Drosophila melanogaster: one gene and its partner. The protein of the gene in region 2 interacts with the protein of the main gene of each other region in a pairwise test. Each region holds a gene or a part of one and is shown on either strand. Other genes may lie near its edges.

What was found.
Region 1: the proteins of tj (region 2) and bsh interact in a two-hybrid assay, tested with the Drosophila melanogaster proteins (one large-scale study listed by BioGRID).

Annotation. Positions count from the first base shown.
Region 1 is NT_033779.5:19,764,607-19,770,961, forward strand, and holds bsh (brain-specific homeobox), read right to left. Parts: upstream 4,462-6,355; 5' UTR 4,324-4,461; coding exon 3,881-4,323; intron 3,409-3,880; coding exon 3,134-3,408; intron 2,745-3,133; coding exon 2,442-2,744; intron 2,023-2,441; coding exon 1,754-2,022; 3' UTR 1,170-1,753; downstream 1-1,169. UniProt on the Drosophila melanogaster protein: DNA binding protein that function as transcriptional activator. May play a role in the determination and function of cell types in the brain.
Region 2 is NT_033779.5:19,462,125-19,469,031, forward strand, and holds tj (traffic jam), read left to right. Parts: upstream 1-2,142; 5' UTR 2,143-2,631; coding exon 2,632-4,167; coding exon of another isoform or gene 4,168-4,299; 3' UTR 4,300-5,634; downstream 5,635-6,907.

The DNA of each region.
Region 1 (6,355 bases), 300 kb from region 2:
GTTTTCAACGGCAACTGATAGCACGTAAATAGCATACACACGGAAAATGTATATAGAAGAGAGAGCGGAGTGGAAGAGAGTCCAAGTCCAGATGGGGAGCATAAGCTGCAGACATATGGCTCCAAAACTAAGAGGGAGCCACATATGAAGAGCGGAGGAGAGTGGTCAGGCTTACCGATGAAAATGCCATCGTTAAATGCTTCACTGTGAGAACATTTTAAACAATAAGTATGATGTGAAATGGTCCATGAGAATACGAGTTATACTAACTAAGAGTCTAAAATCAAAACATTTATTGTGATTTTTATTGCCAACCTCTTAAAATCGAGGGAGGCTCGTCTCTAGCAGTTTATTTCACATTGAGCTTATCAATAGCAAGATAAGCCCAAGAGTACTACTTATTAGTTTCTGTATTCACTGGGAAAATACAAGTGGCTAAAGCGACTGCGACTTGTCATTGCTTCGACCTTAGGTTGTATATTATTCCGAATATTATTAATTCGCATGTTTACCAAGTTGAGCATAACTCAATACACACTCGAAATTTATATAAAAAAATACATATTATTAACAAGCATATGTACATATGCCATTTAATCGCCAGAATAGAATTGGAATATGCTTCGTTGACGTCAAGAAAAGTCTTAACAGTCCAAAGTATGAAACTAAAAATGATAACTTCTCTCAACAAATAGATCCATGAGTTTTGATGACTGCAAAGGTATCTACATGTATATAAGCATATGGAACTCCATTCCCTCCAAGACTCATTCTTAATCGGGTAAACTATTAATATTTTTTCGAGAGCATTCCTGCTAACCCGTAATTACCAATCAATTTGAAACATTTAACTTTTACCTCCTCACTCTATTCCGCACTTGACAATGGGTGTCTCACTAAAATGGCTGTCTGAAAACCCGCAATTATTTTGCCATTGTTAAGTGCATTTCCATCCACCCCGATTCAATCCAATCCCACCCGCTTCCGCCCGCCCACTTGGGCGGCAGGACATGCGCAGGGCGTGGCAGTCGCCAACCCCATACATCAGTATTCCCGCTGCTTAACCATATTAGTTGCTACTTTGTGTTGTCAATTGGATTTGATTGCCCGGCGAGGGGGCGGGCATCAAGCTACACCACCCACCCACCCAGTAACACTTCTCCAGCATTCGCGTAATTCGCTCCGTTCCGTTTATTGTAAGCACTATGTTCTGGATAAGAAGTCGCAGGGAACTAATGTATCTTAAAATGGAAGTTCTCGAATACAATCACTAAATTTGATTAGTTATTAGACTTAATACATGACTAGAAAACTCGTTCAAGAACTCGTTGGTATTTACACGGCTTTTCGATTCAATTCAAATATGTATCTGGGGGGAAATACAACTATAATTATAGCAAAATAAATATGTTTCTTTTGGACAAGATCAAAACAGCTAGAGTAGCTGGATGGTATCTGTTATAATCAATCAATTAATTCAATGGTGAAACTGATGGGTAAGTTTCCACAATTATAAGGAACTATAGTTCGTACTAAATCGTAATAATAGATATTTTCAAAATGGTATAACCATGCTCGCGCTGATAATATATGTGTTGTTTTGTAACTTCTGTGCTTGTCTAATAGAAAAGTCATTTAGTAAAAGAAACTGATATTTTTTGATTTGAAAATCTCTTTTAGTTGTATTTCCCCCAACTGAAACACCGAAAACTTTACTACTTTAGGATCCAGGTCCACATCCCGATCGAACTGTCTATGTTAACTGGTAGAGTTTCGCATCGCCGACGATGTCCACGTCGCTGGAGTTGTCCTCGTCGCCACTGTCCGCCTCCAGATCGGAGTAGTCATCCGTGGAGTAACCCTGCTGCATCAGGCACATCTGCAGCTGCTGCTCGCTCGTCGGCTGAGTGGGTGTGCCGCCGACAGATCCGGGATTCAGTTTGCCGTGCTTGGAGTCCCCGGATGAGGAGGTGGCCTCGCCCGGCTGCTTGCCCGGTTCGCTGCGTGAGAAGTCGACGGGCTCTGCGGCATGGAAGAGTCAAAGAAATTTCCACAAAATTTAGAACTAATTTGATTTGCGTTGAAACTTGAGCAAAACTTTTTGCATCACAAGGAGCCGGCTAAAAGCCAAAAGGTCTAATTGATAGTCCAAAAGTTCCTCAAAGAAACTACTCACTCCAGTGGTCTAGTTTTTGGTGCTTTGTGACCAATTTGAAAACCGCTGACCACTCCTGCTCGAAATGCCTTTTGACAATTTAATTGCTAACTCAAATATTGCATTGTCTAAAAGCTGGAAAACTTGAGCAACTCTTTTTCGCTCTAGTTGTTCTTAACAGCCCAGAAAAGGTTTGAATATTAAATAACTTGATTTGAGTATTATAAATTTCGTAATATTTAATTTGCTCATAATAAATTTGTGATTATGAAATCAATATACTCACCATTGGCATTGTCGCGCCGGCGCAGCTGCTTTTTGTGCTTCATGCGGCGGTTCTGGAACCAGGTCTTCACCTGCGTCTCGCTGAGTCCCAAGGCGGTGGCCAGCTCCACACGCTCCGGCGTGGACAGGTATCGCTGTCCCTCGAACCGCTTTTCCAGACCGGACAGCTGCGGATCACTGAACACCGTGCGAGCCTTCCTCCGGCGGCAGTGGCGCAGGGCATTCACGCCCATTCCCAGTCCGAGGGCCAGTTCCGGCACACAGCCAGGCGCTCCGAAGAAGGGCGCTCCCCCGAACAGGCTGGCTGAAAGGGCAAAGGATGCAAAATTTGGTTAACTTCGTTATAGTTGGAACAAATGAAAACTTTCGGTGTTGATGGCCATTTACACCGAATATTTCGAGTTTTAGTGCCCCTAAATGAAGCTATGTGGCAACAAAAAACTGCACTTCAACATCAGTTGTCCTACTAATTTGGGTTTCATTTTGAAAAAGTTCTAAATGTGAAATTAAATGTTGTGCTGGCTTTTTAATGAGAATATGTCCAACTTCATTTTCGATTAGCTAAACTCTAGCTAGAATTGACTTTTAATTTCTATGAGTTCGACTTTAACTTATTACCAACATGTTTGTATGTACCAGTACAAATCAGAATCATCTAGGAGGATATCTCTGTAATATCGAGCATTAACTCACCTTGTGATAGAAAATAGGGATCCACGGACTTGTAGGTGCCCGACGACGGCGAGAGATATCCGAGGGTCATTTGAAGAAATCCGTGATCGGTGTAGGGTGCATTCGGATAGAGTACTCCATTGGATGCACCACTACCTCCATTCAGGGGCGGCGGAGGCGGAGGTTGAGGTTGAGTCGTGGGCACCGGCGGATGTTGTGCTGCTCCAGATCCCAACTGCTGCGAAATCTGATCTCCGTTGTAGTGGGAAGTTCCGTGTCGCGAGTGGTGGTTGGACCTACGAAGCAAGTGGTTCAATTAGGGGTCTATTGGTATTTCGATGTTAAACTATTCTCTTTATGTCCAATAGTGATTTTTATGCTAATATGCTTAAATACAAATATATATTCCCAGATACATTAAGCTTTATGGTAAGCCTGATTTCTATGTTTCCAAAATATCATTTTTCTTACAAAAAATATTCTATAATTTAAAAGAACATAATCCAAAGTAAGATTTTAAAGGTGTATGCTATTCCAAAATATTTGTCTTCAAGAAGGTGTGACTATCTATCGTATTTGATGTTTCATGTTTACTTCTTATTCTTTTATAAATTCACTTTGTTAATATTATCTTATTTTTTATTTATTTTTTTTTTATTTTAATTACTTTTTTTCACTTTTCTATGCAATTATATTGGCTTAAAATTAAAGTTTTTTAAACTAAAATTTCACTGCAGTAGTATTAGGCCTTGGAATTCGGAAACCAACCGTGGAGTGCTGTGCATGGACTTGCCGTAATCCTCGCCAGCGTAACCCGACGCAGCCTGGTTGCTGCGGGCAGTAGCCGTCGCGGATGCGGATGCGGACGCCGGCGGATGTGACTGCGGCGGATGCGAATGTTGCGACGGATGTTTGTGCGGATTATTGTCGTGGGCAAATGCGCTTCTGGCACTTTTCACCGCGTTTCTGCTGCTCTTTGGCGCGTAGTTGTTGGTGTTTGCGGCGATGCCGTTGGTATCACTACTATTATTGTTATTGCTGGCACTATTTAAGTTTTGAAACAATATGTGCTCGATGGAAAACGGCGTTTTTGTGGTCAGCATTGTGGTGGCACTGGCCATCGCCGCCGCCTTGCTGTGCGTGGGCGTGGTGGCGTTGGCATGAGCATGTGCGTCCGCAGGACTCAAGCTGGCCTCATTAAGCATTGCCATTGCGCTGGAGGATGGCCGAGCAGGAGGAGCACGAGGAGCAGTGATGGAGACCGGAGCCAGGAGATGTGCCAGCCAGCCGGGATATATACGTGTCCTTGGACCGCGCGCGCGCTTATGTTGTTTGCTCGTTGACGGTCGCGTTGAGTTTGCGGCAATCACCGCACATCAACCAGCAAATTGCTCTAAACGAGCTGCCAGCAGACATGTGCGAGCGAGCCGGCGATATGGTCCTGCATCCTGCGAAAAGGGGAAAATCGAAGGGGGGGAAAAAATGCGAGCGCAGGCAGTGCCACCCCCTCCTCAATCCGGCTGCAGTTGGCCCGCTTTGCGGTGCCCGCTTAGAGCGGCAATATTCGGGGAATCCCCGTAAGCGGGCACATGAACACACCCCTCGATTTGCATGCGCATAGGGTTGTCCTGCTCTGGCAGGATTTTGAGCACCCATCTCTCTGCTGGCATCCACTGGACATGCGATTAGTGCGGAAAAACCTTAGTTTAATTGACCCCCGTTAGCCGCAAATAAGTTGCACAACTATGCGTCCTTGCTCTGCCGCCATTTTGCGAGGCAGGCACATCCTGCCACGTCCCCAGCCGCCCATTTGGCACCCACTTGTCATAATTAACGTGTCACGGCCGCCATTGTTGGCTGTCTGGCTGATGATGTGCGTGCATTAAATGCCACAATTATTATAATTGAATTAAACAATCGATTCTGCTGCTGTGACAGGATAATTGCTAGGTGGAGCCAGCGCAACTGTACCCGCTGGGTTGGGGCCAAGCATTCGCCTGCTTTGCATTCAGATATTTTTTCCCCGCGCGGTTAATTGAATCAGAGCCCCACATAGCCGTACACCACCCACCAAGGACACCCGGCCCCCTCCGCACCCAACCAAGTGACACCATCGAAAAAGGGGGCGTGCCTCCTTTCCAGCAAGCCACCAATCGGCGAAGAGCTCGCCGAGGGGTTGCTTTCGCAACTATACTCGTCCTGTTTCGTCCTGTTGCTTTGAGAATCAGTCTTTCCTCACAGCGGAAAGTCCTTAATTCCTTCAGAGAGAGGGAAATATGGGGGGGGGGGGTCTCCACAAACAGAGCAGGAAGGAAGGACAATAACGAGACATCGCCGAGAGAGAAAAAGCATATGACGACGATGCGACCAAAAAGCAAGACAAATTTGCTCGTTTTATTAATAAAATAAGTCACGCAAACTAAGTCGAACGTCATTATTAGGTTAAAGCCCTAAAATGGGCGCATTAGGATGGCATTCGAGTGATCGCGGTGATGGTTGGGTCTGCTTGGGGATGTGCTGCCCTGTTCCTGGGCAAAAATATCTCAGCTTCTCTAAGGACATTGGGGGGTTATGGGGTTTGTGTTAACGAATAAAAATATTTAATTGTATTTAAAAGATATTAGAATAATAGTACTTAAAAGTGATAACCTAATTTCAGAAGTGCTCTACCAATTTTAAAATTATTAAATTAAAAAGATATAAGATTCATAGTTCCTAAAAAGACAACGTTTTTCTTTTAATATCTATTTTATAATATTCTTTTCATTTTCTATAAATCTATTTTATGAAATCCCATCTAAATTAAATTTTAATTTAAGGGTTGTATACCTTAATAATAAATATATTTATTATTATTATTTATTATTTATTATAAATATATTTATTATTACATATATGAGAAATAAAAACTGATATTTATCTTAGAGAAAGAATATTAATAGAATAAAATATCTCGAGACTATAGTTACATATAGTTTAGAGCTCCATAGAAGTGGAAAGCTGGAAAAAGGTATCCCAGCCAGAGATGAGCACTTCTCTCACCTGGCCGAAAGCTCTTAACTGGCTGCTCCGCCTCCACATCCACCTCCTCCTCCATGGACTACTCTTCGGTGTCATCCATTGTTAACCCGCTGACATGAACGTGCCAAAGGGCCTTTGTGAGGACATATATTTTGTTCAGTTCTTTTTGAGTCTGCTCGGTGGCGTGTCTACCTTGCGTTTTTTATTGATTTTTCTCGCTAG
Region 2 (6,907 bases):
GAATATGTAGCTATAGCCTTAATGTTACTGAAAATTATTGTTTGCTGAATATTATTACGGAAGAAAATTACAAAAATATTATTAAGCGCAGTGAATCAAATTTTAAACAACGCTCTAAATATTCTGTTGAATTTAATTATTTATAATGGAAGAAATCGTTTAAAATAGCTTTACATATGCTAGCCTTCTTGAGATCCCTATCTTTGTGGTTTTAAGTACCTCAGATCTTATGTCGCATATTTAACCAAAAAATATTCAAATTTTAAATTTGGTAATAGGAAAGGTGGATTGGCATTGCTAGCCCACATTTCCACATACTGCCCACCCCTCCTGGCGAACCAGAACTTGTTGCACAAACAAAGCAGAAGCCTTTCGATATCCCACAACAATATTACATCAGAGCAATCTGTTTGGCCAGCGAAGACAAAACATTTGCTCAAAACAAAAAGTCAGAAAAAAGGGGTTCAAATTAAAGTAAAACAAGAGCGCCCCGTGTCCAAGTTGGGCCGTCGGAGGCTCCTAAGTTCTGTACTCCGTTTCCGCTGGATCAGCATAAAAATGCACCTGTGCACCATGGAATCCTTTGGCCCAAGCAAACACACACATGCCCATGGAGTGGGCAGTGTATTATATACGAGCCAAAACAAATCGAGCGACTTATCTCGGCTAAAACATCTCCCATTGACTTATGCACTGGAAAATGGAACAGTGGACGTGGATGTGGACGTGGATATGGATGTGCCTGTGCTTGTGCGACCCACTCCTGCATATACTTTCCTATGTGGATATACATATGTATGTATGTACATATGGGCACATCCATCTCCACCTCCATCACCGACTTCGTGTGGATGGCCAGCCAAATGAGACTGGAAGTCGGCAAATGGGGCTATGCGGGAATTTCCGTGGTAGTTGCTCATAAATATTCAGACACCAACACACTCGCAGATGGGGAGAGCCACACCGACACACACACGCGCACACAGTGGCAAAGTGGGCGGAGTCGACGACAGCATAAAGTGTGTCTGTGTGTCTATGTGTGCCATTTTTTATGCGCTCCATGGCAATTCAAAAACGCAAACAATAAACCGAGCAGCAGAGCAGCCACACCAACGGTTCCATTCCACCACCAACAAAGTGAAATCCCAGAGCATAGATTTGTGCTCTTGCACAGTGGTCGAGGTATTGGGTATCAAGGGCTTACTGAAACATTACTTACGTGCTACATGTTCCGAAATTTAAACATTAAATAGCTCATCAGTATATATAAAATTTAATAATGTATATAGTATATAATAATGTATATAGCATAATGCATAAAATATGTTTTTCCATGTCCAATTATAAGGCAATGCAGTCAATTTTCTGGCTTGTTAAGTCGCTTTTTTAGACTGTTAACAACATCAACATATTTGTTATTGGTGAAGTAATGTTCTTTGACCAGAATGATTGTTAGTCAAGGGAAGCGATTTTAGCTAAGAATTGATTGAATTTCCACGAAAAGGTCTAAATTTCTTTAAAATACTTAAAAAAGAACGTGAAATTAATAGAATTTTGTATAGATATTCAAGTGTTGTAACATTTAAAGCAGATCAAAATATAATCGCTTTTTCAAAGTTCAAAGTTAGTCCTTTAGCTATAAAATATTGTATTTGATTTAGACAACTTAAACTTGTCAAAATGTACGAATGAAATTATTTTATATTTGCAATTTTTTATCCCACTGTGCAGTGCATCGAATCTACGAAGCTTTCCCGGCTTGACTTTTGTTGTTGTTGTGCGCGAGAGCAGCAGCTGCCGGCAAAAGCACAAACAACAACTACAACTACAACGAAAGGCACTCTCTCTCTCTTGCGGACAAGTGCCTCCCCGCCCTTTCGCCTCTTTCCTTCCTCTAGAACCGTCATTTCCACGTTTCCAACAGGAGTTCCCTCGCACCAAAAGCAAAAGCATCAGCGAATGGCGTTCGAGCTCGGTTTTGTTTGTTGTTGGGCTGGTCGGCTTTTTGGTTTTGGCAAGTCGTTTTGTTTGTCGGCTGTTGGGAAAAGGAATGGGTGTGTGTGTGTGGGTGTGCGCGCGCTGCGCTGCCATTCTAACAGTTATCATCAAGGGAACAGAGCATCCAGAGCAGAGCTTCCAGAGCAGAGCCACCCTCCAGTCAGATTCAGTCCGACCTTAGTTGAAACGGACACGGAGTTCAGTCGCCACCGTTAACTCTTTCACATTGGACGCGAAAAGCGCGTTCGCGAAATTAGTGAGCAAAATTGGAAAGAGAGCGAGCTTACAAATGAATTAAGCGCCAAAGTGCGGATAGTGATCGCTTTAATAAAAGCATACTTACATTTTAAATCATAAATAAGCAATCCAATCTTTTACAACGAAATCTAAGAAACCGGCATCGAAGTAAATATCTAACAGATTCTGGGGTAACCCCAAAAAAAAACGTAACCTAAATCCTGAGATCAAGATAAAACTTAGCCGCAGGCCGAAAGCGCCAGTGCCTGGTTCCGTGACCCCCGATCGCGTAGTTGACCTTTGAAACCACCCACTAACCACCACCCACCAATCAGCACGGTCACTCCCTTGCATGTGAGACCCGTAATCGACCCTCTCCGGTCCCTGGTCGATCCAATGAAAATGGAAGATCCCACCATAAACGACACGTACGTTCAGGAGTTTGATCTGCACCACCTGGAGGTGGGCGGAAATGGAGCTGGCCAATCGCATGGAGCCGGTGCCGCGTCCCAGGTCACGACTTTGGGCCATGTGAAGCGCGAGGATCACAGTCCACCGCAGCCGGTGGCGGTTAAATGGACGACAATCCACGGCGATCCCACGAATCCGGACGATGACCCGGACTCGCTGCCGCTGTCCGGACCAGAGCCCGCCGGAGCAGTGGAGGTCTCGCCATCGCCGCACATCAAGCTGAGGTCCTTCTCCGGCCATCACCAGTGGCACATGGACGAACGGCGCCTGCAACCGCTCTCTCCGCCACCAGAGCAGTATGGTCCGCTGCCCGGACAGGCGATTCTGGTGAACACATCTTCGGGAGCGGGCGTTCCGGGCGGAGTGCCCTCAACGCCGCCGGAAACGCCACCAGTAGTGGGCTCGCCCACGGGCAGCAGCAGCTGTCCGGCTCAGACTTACGCACACCACTATGCGAGGACACCGGGCAGCTCCGTATCCGTATCCGCCTCCGCCGCCGCCGCAGCTGCTGCCTCCGCCGGAGCAGCATCGGTGAGTGCCGGACTGAGCCATGACATGATGTGGCTGACCAACTCGATACGGGCGGACCAGCAGCCGCTGGATCTGCGGCCTTTGCCCTATCCGGGCTCCCAGGAGGAGGCGGAGGAGTGGGACAGACAGCGGGACTACGCCCTGCAGGCGGCGGCAGCTCATCACCACCATCACGGACAGCCGCTGATGCAGGCGCAGCATCATCCGCATGGACACGGCGGTCATCCCCACCAGGTGATGCTGCAGCAGAGCAAGTATCCGCACCACCATCACCACCACTTCCACAATCTGGAACTGACGCCCATCAACATGCACTCGAACTCGTACGGTAGTGCTTCGGGTGCCCTGACGCCCACCTGTCTGCCCCAAGTGCCCAGCAACGGGAGTGGCAGCAGCGGAGGCGGAGGAGGCAGTGGAAGCGGGAGTGGTGGACCCGGCAGCGTGGGTGGCGGCTCCTGCGTCATCACACGGGCTGCCCTTCAGCCGTGCCGCCCGCTCTCCGCCAGCTCGACCAGATCCTCGAACAACATGTCGCCCAGAACCTGTTCGGGTGCCTACAGTAATGCCACGCTGGAGGATTGCCTCAATGACGACATGCTGACCACGTTGACGGTGCGGGAGCTGAACAAGCGGCTCCATGGTTGCCCACGGGAGGAGGTAGTGCGTCTGAAGCAGAAGCGACGCACCCTGAAGAATCGCGGCTATGCCCAGAACTGCCGGTCCAAGCGACTCCATCAGCGCCACGAACTGGAGAAGGCCAACCGGGTGCTCAACCAGGATCTGCACCGCCTGAAGCTGGAGTACTCGAGGGTCTGCCAGGAGCGGGATGCCCTCATGCAGCGTCTGCAGCGGGCGGCAAATGGCGGAGTCGGTGCGGGAGGTGCAACCGCCGGCGGCGATAGCCAAAGCTCTCCGGAATTCTACCTCTGACGCCAGCTGGCGGTGGCCAGCGGCTCCTCCGCATCCTCATCCTCCTCCTCGCAGCAGCAGCAGCAGCACCCCCAGCAACTTCATCTCCAGCATCGGGGTCCACAGTGGAATCCCCAGCAGCTGGTCAACTAAGTAGAGAGCGTTCCGTGTTTAAGGTACTTTCACAAAGAGTTGATCATTTCCAAGAGCTTTTCCTAGACACAATGTATAAGGTAAATTGGTTTGATTCCAAGAATGTTTTCCAAATAGTCTCCACTCGAAAGAACATGTTTTCCAAAAAGAGTTTGTTAAAGCGTTTCCAAGGGGTTAGATGTCAGAATTCAAATTCTGTTTGTTATACATTCAAAATGATTTGTGTTATACCACGCGTTATTGTAAGTTTGTCCCTATTTTTGTGTATTCTTAAAAATAATTTAGTAACTAGGTTGGATTTTCAAGAGAAGTGCATTCCCATTACCACCACTGTTGATATTTATTCCCTCATTAATTTAAAAACATTTCCATTTAATCAATAATGCTGAAAAATTAGGCGGTTTCCGCAGAATTCTGTTTAGCTATGTTACTATGAAATTTATTAAAGGGGTTTTTAAGCGTTTAATTTGCCATTATTCTGATTGCGACAATAAATTCCGATGAATATCAGTTTGAGAACTTGGAAAGTGATCGACAGAGATTGAGATAGATGAGATAGAAAGTAAAGTGCGAGAGAGAGAGAGAGAGCGTGTTTGGATGGAACTTTTGCTGATTATCAGTTTGACTAAGGCAAAGATCGATTATAAATAAAACTAATTGGAACTCGTATGTATAAAGGACAAACATTGTATAAACCCAAGGAACAAAAACAAAAAGGTAAATTAACTAGCGGCTTCTGATTATCAATCGCTAAATTATTACAAAGTACGAGTTAGTAACACACGCTTATTTGTTGATTAGTTCTAGCCTTAGTTTCCCTACTAGTATTAAGCGAAACAGAAGCGAATTATAATATCATAGATGCGATAGTTGTTCTAGAGGCCGTGCTTCCCCTGCCGTTTCCGTTTTAGCCACACCGCCCGCAAAAATTCCAATCCTTCAGTAGCAATACATCTAATAAAACTAAAGGTTGTATTAAGTTAAAACACCGCAAGCTGGAAGAACCGATGTATAAAGTGAAACTGGATCGAAGCGAAGAACAAACTCAACTGAAGTAAACTAACAAACTAACAAAGTCCTATACAATTTAATGAGCACTGAAAATGATGATCGAAAATAATGTACATACACCCACACACTTACGTATAAAGATGAAAAGATGTAAATTTAAGATTTTTTGAATGCATTCAGATTTCTGTCTTTGTGGAACTAGAAGAAACACACGCGAATACTGAGCCGGAAAATTAAAGATTAATTACAAACTAAAAACAATTGTGAGTAGTTGATAAGTGTGCATAAAACAATTTAGTAATAAATAAATCTAAATTAATGAATAATCCTATGTGCGTTCTTTCTTGGGCGCTTCCCTGCCAGCCAAAAGGTTTGCAATCTAACTAGTAAACGTTAGATTTCAGTTTCAGTGCAACTGTAAACATTGATACGGATTAAAAGATTCATTGAATGCTCATGAACTGAGAGTTACGTTCGTTTCTTTGGATGCTTGATAGTTTAAACATTGAAGATCGTAAAAATATAGAATGCTCAGTTTTTCATAGTATTCAAATTGTATTCTATTTTGTCCCCATGCCACATTCATATTCATATCTGGGTTTTAGAAACCACCGAGTGGGTCTCAGCTTGCATCATAGATTTTGGGTTTCATCTCGCCGTTTTCCGAGAAGTGGCATCTTCTGTGTGGTCTGTCGGCATGGATAAATGGGCTTCCAGCGACGACGACCCCCGCGGGCAACAGTTTAAGAATCAAAATAAACACTTCGATCCCGATCCCTCTGGACTTCGATAAGTTATGTCAACAAACTTCGGTCGCGTAACGGCGCATGCAGGAGCTCTGGAGTAGTAGGAGCTCCAGCTGAAGTGCAGCATTGGGTTACAATCGTCCACATGGAGGAGATCAGCATCAGCCCCTAGGAGGGGGAGGGGGCGGTGTTGGAACTTTGGAGCAGTCCAGCATTCAGTTGGGGCGGCGTAATTCGGCAATAATCAGAGGGCCGTATCTACATATCTGCATTTTCAAACCGTAATAAATCCCTAATAAAAATCGTTTCCTTTGGCCTGTTTATTTTCATTTCAATTTCGATTCACTTTTGCGGTGTCGCCTCGCTACGCTTTTTTCAGAATCTGAATTTGTTATTTTTATTTTGATTATATGAGTTTCCTGCCCTACCAAGAACCCAAATCTCTTAGGAGCTTATGTAACCAGACGAAACCACTCGATCGAAGAGTTGCGCAAGTATTTTTGATGAAATTCGGGTTTTTTGTTTTGGCCCAAGTGATGGCGATCGCCATCAAGTGGACATTTTTCTTTGATTTCTTTTGCCCTTTACTTATTTTTTTTCTAGCTTAATTCTCGGCCAGCAGGAAGTTTCGGATTTCGCTTTTTCCGAGCATGCAATAAAAATTGAAATAACTGTGGCCGAAATTGGAATCAAGCGACTGGCTGGATTGGAAAAGACTTTGATTCAAATATATATACAATTTCTTATCGAAATCATTCAGAGGTAAATAATATAAATTAAAGAACAAATATTGCATCCAATGAAAGACAATGTACATACATATGTATCTTTTCAGAAAGAATCTTTAAATT